2 linked regions of the Macaca mulatta genome follow. The main gene of each other region encodes a partner of the protein of the gene in region 2 in a complex. Links are inferred from orthologs where the notes say so. Each region holds a gene or a part of one and is shown on either strand. Other genes may lie near its edges. The genes, in order: ANKS4B and CDHR5.

Region 1 (3,568 bases), on a different chromosome or scaffold from region 2:
CCACCCGCCTCGACCTCCCAAAGTGCTGGGATTTCAGGCGTGAGAGTCTTCTGAACTTCTAACAAACTCACAGGTGATGCTTCTGGTCTGGAGACCAAACTTTGAGCAGCCAGGAACTAGTAGAAGGGTCATGGCGCACTAACAGGTCATTTTCAAGGGTGCAGATCTTCTCTTCTGCTTCTGCCTTCTACCTCCTGGGAATGTTAAGAGGACTTCTCAGACTCACTGTCCTCTTTCCATGGGGCCAGGCTGGCCAGAGTTTAGTGAGATCCTGATTTTGGAGTCTAGACTAGGGCAAAGGAAGGACCCCTTAGTATATGTATTAGGGTTCTCAGCAGTGGTGCATGGCTCTGGACATCATTAAAAAAAAGTTACTCGACTTTTCATCTGTTCCTGTTTGTCACTCAAGTCCTCGTAGGAGAGGACGGTTTGCTGCCTTGAGCAGGATTCCAATAGGTTTTCATTCATTCCGCAAATACTGGAGCACCTACTATGTCCCTGTTCTGTGCCAGGCATTGGGTTTCTGGCCTTAATACCATCTAATAGTATCTTCAATTCCTCCTTAAACTTTTGTAGAATGACACACTTATATGAACCTATAGTCATATGGAAGTAAGTGGAGAAATAAATAGAGATGTAATGCCCTTTTAATGAATAAATGTTTATAACAGGGACTGTTTGCTACCTCCCCAACATCCATTTCTTTCTTCTTTTCTGCTGATGGGGACTGAGTTTGGTTCAGTTATTTATTTCTCCACATGTGACTCAATTCGGGAGGGTAGCAGTAGCATGCTGGAACCAGCTTGTTGGCAGTTATTTCTAAATTTTAGAAAGTTTGGCAGTTAAACATAGCCATTCTTTTTTACTTTTTATTATTTTTATTTAAAAAAATATTTAATGGAGACAGGTCTTGCTGTGTTTCCCGAGCTGGTCTTGAATGCCCAGCCTCAAGCAAATCTCCCACCTCATCCTCCCAGTGCTGGGATTACAGGCATGAGCCACTGAGCCTAGCCTTTTTTTTTTTTTTTAAGACAGGGTATTGCTGTGTTGCCCAGGCTGTAGTACAGTGGTTCAATCATAGGTTACTATAAGCCTGAGCTTCTGAGAACATAGCCATTCTTAAAAATAAAATAACAGGCTGGGTGTGGTGGCTCACAGTTGTACTCCCAGTACTTTGGCAGGCTGAGGCGGGTGGATCACCTGAGATCAGGATTTAAGACCAGCCTGACCAACATGGTGAAACCCGTCTCTACTAAAAATACAAAAATTAGCTGGGTGCTGTGGCGGGTGCCTGTAGTCCCAGCTACTCGGGAAGCTGAGGCAGGAGAATTGCTTGAACCTGGGAGGCAGTGAGCCAAGATCGCACCACTGTACCCCAGCCTGGGCGACAGAGCAAGACTTCGTCTCAAAAAAAAAAAAAAAAGTTTAACCTTTAATTTAACAAATTATATTAACAAGGTTACACAAAAGTCTCACTTTCTACTTATTTTAATACCTTTCACTCTTACCTATCTCTTAAGGTAATTCATGTCCATTATATCTACCTGGTGGAAATGGTTGATAATGGTATGCTACTGTGGATCTCTTCCAAACTCTGTGTCTAGTGATGTCACATTGGTAGCTTGAAATCTGCCATGGTGGATGTATTTACACCACAGAAATTGGCACATGCTACAAATTAGGATTTTGATTTTATTATTTTCTTGAGGAGCCATTGAACAATCCTATGCCTAGTTTCAGGGCAAAATCCAATTGATCTAAGTTAAACACAGTACTATGTTTCACATCTCTTAGGCATGTGACCCAGTGCTGGCCAATGAGACAAGAAAGTTGTTTGGCTGGCGAATTTCTTAGAAAGTTTTTCTTGCTTCTAAAAAGGAGACACAGCCGGGTGTGGTGGCTTACACCTGTGATCCCAACACTTTGGGACGCCAAGGTGAGCAGATGGCTTGAGTCCAGGAGTTTGCAACTAACCTGGCAACATGGTGAAACCCTGTCTCTACAAAAAATTAGCCAGGTGTGATGGTACATGCCTGTAGTCTCAGCTATTCGGGAGGCTGAGTGGGGAGAATAAACTGAGCCTGGGAAGTCAAGGCTGCCAATAAGCTGTGATCACACCACTCCACTCCAGCCTGGGAGATAGAGTGAGAACCTGTCTCAAAACAAAACAAAAGAAACAAACAAAAAGGAGACACAGGTTAGAGATGGACTCTGTTTCTGGCCATGTGGTTTTAAGATGGGACGGTTCTAAGATAGCTGGACTTGCAGCCAGTATCTTACAACAATGTCAAGTCAGGATGAACATGTTTGCATTAACATGCCTTTTGTTCTTTATTTTTGTTTTGAATTGTTGGAGCCCAATTCAGAAAAAAATGCCCAACATGTTTATTTATTTTTTTGTATTTTCTCTTCTAGAGGGGACCCTGATAGGTGTGACATCTGGGGAAACACTCCTCTACATTTTGCAGCCTCCAATGGCCATGCCCACTGCGTCTCATTCCTGGTCAACTTTGGTGCCAACATCTTTGCCCTGGATAATGACTTACAGACTCCGCTGGATGCTGCTGCCAGCAGGGAGCAGAATGAATGTGTTGCTCTCCTGGACAAGGCTGCCACTGCGCAGAACATCATGAACCCCAAGAAGGTCACCAGGCTGAAGGAGCAGGCTCAGAAGAATGCCAGGAGGCAGATCAAAGAGTGTGAGAGGCTCCAGGAGAAGCACCAAAATAAGATGGCCCGCACCTACAGCAAGGAGGAGTCTGGGACTGTCTCTTCTTCCAAGGGTACCTTCTCCAGGTCATTCCCTTCAAATGCTTCTGCTCCTGGCACATTCGGGTCACTATCTAAGGGCATTAAAGATACTTTCAAGATCAAGTTCAAAAAGAACAACAATACAGCAGAACAGGTGGGGAAGGAAGGCAGAAGTGGGCAGAGGAACGTGATGGAAGTGTTCAGAGAGGAAGAGGAAGACTCATTCTCAGGGGACTTCAAAGAGAAGCTCCAGTTGTCAGCAGAGGAGGACAGCAGTGTGCGCCATGAATCCATTCTCAATCGTCCAGGTCTAGGAAGTATTGTTTTTAGAAGGAACAGGATATTGAGTCCTGAAGACATCTCAGATAGCAAGAGGGAGTTGGGTTTTAAACTGCCCAGTGAATTGTTTCAAACACAAGGAACATCAGAGACTGATGAGGGTATAGCTGATGAAGAGGAAGAGGAAAACAGCCTCAAAGATGATCTACCATGGGGTGAGGATGAAGTGGAGTGGGAGGAAGATGTGGTCGATGCCACGCCCCTGGAAGTGTTCTTGCTGTCTCAGCACCTGGAAGAATTCCTGCCTATCTTTAAGAGAGAGCAGATTGATCTAGAAGCTCTGCTGCTCTGCTCTGATGAGGACCTTCAGAGCATACAAATGCAGCTGGGTCCCAGGAAGAAAGTTCTGAATGCTATAAACAGGAGGAAGCAGGTGCTACAACAGCCTGGGCAGCTGGTCGACACCAGCCTGTGATGGAGGGTTTTGGCCTGGAGCATTGGGGTGATGCTGTGGTCTGCTGGCAGCACTCCAGGCAGC
Region 2 (3,056 bases):
CGCTACTCAGTGACCCAGGTCACCGTGGAGGCTGTGGCTGCAGCCGGGAGCCCGCCCCGCTTCCCCCAGAGCCTGTACCGTGGCACCGTGGCACTTGGCGCTGGAGCAGGTGTTGTGGTCAAGGATGCAGCTGCCCCCTCTCAGCCTCTGAGGGTCCAGGCTCGGGACCCGGAGTTCTCGGTAGGTAGCACACGCAAGGCTGATGCCTGCCGCCCCCACGGCAGCCTTCCTGTTGCCCAGGGTCCCTGGGTCCACCCGGCCTCCCCTCTGTGGGTGGGTCAGGGCTGCAGATGGGAGGCAGCCTGGCCGGGGACTCAATGAAACCCTGTCCAGGACCTCAACTCGGCCATCACGTATCGAATTACCAACCACTCACATTTCCGGATGGAGGGAGAGGTTGTGCTGACCACCACCACACTGACCCAGGCGGGGGCCTTCTACGCAGAGGTGAAGGGCAGGGCAGGTGGGCATCTCCAAGGGTGTGGGGCTTAAAGACGTGCCCAGGAGAGACAAGCCCCTTCCTGCCCTAGGTTGAGGCCAAAAATACAGTGACCTCTGGCACTGCGACCACAGTCATTGAGATACAAGTTTCCGAACAGGAGCCCCCCTCCACAGGTGAGCCCCCATCCCCAGAGACTGGAGGAACAACTGGGCCCTGGACCAGCACCACTTCCGAGGCCCCCAGACCCCCTGTGCCCTCCCAGGGACCCTCCACAACCAGCTCTGGGGGAGGCACAGGCCCTCATCCACCCTCTGGCACAACTCTGAGGCCACCAACCTCGTCCACACCCGGGAGGCCCCCCGGTGTGGGAACCAGCACCTCCCACCAACCAGCCACACCCGGTGGCGGCACAGCACAGACCCCAAAGCCAGGAACCTCTCAGCCGATGCCCCCCGGTGTGGGAACCAGCACGTCCCACCAACCAGCCACACCCGGTGGTGGCACAGCTCAGACCCCAGAGCCAGGAACCTCTCAGCCGATGCCCCCCGGTGTGGGAACCAGCACATCCCACCAACCAGCCACACCCGGTGGTGGCACAGCTCAGACCCCAGAGCCAGGAACCTCTCTGCCGATGCCCCCCAGCAGGAACACCCCATCCTCAGGTAGCACCCACTCCGTTGCCTTCCCTCCCTGGCTCAGATCACTGGGTGGTAGGGAAATGCTGTAGGAAGGGTCCACCCCAGGCTGACCTGGCCTGACTATGAAATCCCAGAGGGGTCTGTTTGGGACTGACAGACACAGACAGGCCAAAGGCCCTCAGTGAGGTGAACTGTGATGTGTGTAGGACAGAAGCCAGATTTGGGGTCCAACGAATCCCATGATTCCCACAGCTGCCGGCTCACCCTGCAGGCCCCTGCCCCTCCTGTGAGCAGCCTCTTTGTTGGGGGGGGGGAGCCCAGGGTCTCACTGGGACACACAGGCCCCTCCAGCCAGGGTCAGCAGAGCCTGAGATTTGGGAGACAGCCCAGGCCTGGGTGATTTCCAAGTGTCTCAAGCCTGGCACAGGTTGGCATGGGGAATGCCTGGGGTGCTCAACAGTGCGGGGGTGATGGCATTTTCCACAGCGATGCCAGGTGGCGGCCCCTCGGAGGACAAGCGCTTCTCAGTGGTGGACATGGCAGCCCTGGGTGGGGTGCTGGGTGCACTGCTGCTGCTGGCTCTCCTTGGCCTCACTGTCCTTGTCCACAAGCACTACGGCTCCCGGCTCAAGTGCTGCTCCGGCAAAGCTCCGGTGAGGCCCAGGGTGGAGGGCAGGGCAGGCGACCCGCAGGGAGTGGGGGACAGGAGAGGGGAGGGCAGAGGGGAATATGTGGAGGCGGAGGGGTGTCCACCGTGGAATGAGGGTGTGGAGAGGCCACAAGGCAGCAGAGACCCAGGGACCCCGCTGACGCCTTCACTCCTGCTAGCAGGAACCCCAGCCCTCAGGCTATGACAACCAGGCGTTCCTCCCTGACGACGAGGCCAACTGGGCGCCTGCCCCCAGCCCCACGAGCGACGCCAAGCCCGCGGAGGCACCGCCGACGCCCGCGGAGCCCGCGCCCCCTGGCCCCGCGCCCTCGGGCAGTGCCCCTGAGGCCCCGGCAGCGGCCGTAGCCGGGGGAAGCCCCGCAGCGGTGAGGTCCATCCTGACGAAGGAGCGGCGGCCGGAGGGCGGGTACAAGGCCGTGTGGTTCGGCGAGGACATCGGGGCGGAGGCAGACGTGGTCGTTCTCAACACGCCCACCCTGGACGTGGATGGCGCCAGCGACTCCGGCAGCGGCGACGAGGGCGAGGGCGCGGGGCCTGGCAGGGGTCCCCACGATGAGCCCGGCGGCGATGACTCGTACATCTAAGCGGCCCCTCCACCCTCTTCCCCGGCCGCGCGGGCGCTAGAGGTCCCGCTCCCCTAACCCCCGACCCAAGGCAGAATAAAGCAAGGCTCCCCAAACCCAGGCCGTGGCGTGGGGCGGGCGCGCGGGTCCGTGCGGGCCCCATTTGCTCGCGTCCCCCATCGTCCTCGGCGCTCGAGCCCGGGTGTGCAGACGGGGGTGGCGGGTCCCGCCGCGCTGTCCCCACCCGAAGGCTGCAACGCTTCCCGTAAACCACCTGCTGTGCCCGCCGTCTTCCCGAGGCTCCGCGCCAGCTGGCCCGCGAAGTTCCTCTCCTGCTCTCACCACAGCCGGAGAGGGCACTCCCCTCCCCCAGTCTGCACTGGGGATCTCAGGCACCCGCTCAACTCAGACCTACCACTCCCGACCCGACACAGAGATTGCCTGGGGAGGCTGAAGAGCCAACGCAAATCCCCAAGACGATGCGCTTGGAAGCCAGTGGTCTCAAACATCTGCCGGGCTGGGGGTCCTAGTCCCCTTCTGAAATCTACATGGTTGGGTTGGGGCGCAGCATTAAACACCCACCCAGAGGCCTGCACTGAGGCACGCGGGGGTCGGTGCGCGCGAGTGGCCTGAGCAGGAGCCGGACCAGGAGGCCTAGGGGTGAGAGACACCTCCCGGTCGCTTCTCCCAAGGCCAGAGCCCAGGCTGGCCACCCATGCCCAGAACCATCAAGGGGTCCCTTG

Evidence for each region.
Region 1: CDHR5 (region 2) and ANKS4B share a complex: the UniProt entries of both Homo sapiens proteins name them as parts of the IMAC/intermicrovillar adhesion complex. The link is inferred for Macaca mulatta from reciprocal best matches to the Homo sapiens genes CDHR5 and ANKS4B.

What each region holds. Positions count from the first base shown.
Region 1 is NC_133425.1:21,170,847-21,174,414, forward strand, and holds part of ANKS4B (ankyrin repeat and SAM domain-containing protein 4B), read left to right. Parts: intron 1-2,415; coding exon 2,416-3,505; 3' UTR 3,506-3,568. UniProt on the Homo sapiens protein: As part of the intermicrovillar adhesion complex/IMAC plays a role in epithelial brush border differentiation, controlling microvilli organization and length. Plays a role in assembly of the complex.
Region 2 is NC_133419.1:511,462-514,517, reverse strand, and holds the end of CDHR5 (cadherin-related family member 5), read left to right. Parts: coding exon 1-180; intron 181-333; coding exon 334-447; intron 448-530; coding exon 531-1,104; intron 1,105-1,566; coding exon 1,567-1,733; intron 1,734-1,908; coding exon 1,909-2,334; 3' UTR 2,335-2,429; downstream 2,430-3,056. UniProt on the Homo sapiens protein: Intermicrovillar adhesion molecule that forms, via its extracellular domain, calcium-dependent heterophilic complexes with CDHR2 on adjacent microvilli. Thereby, controls the packing of microvilli at the apical membrane of epithelial cells.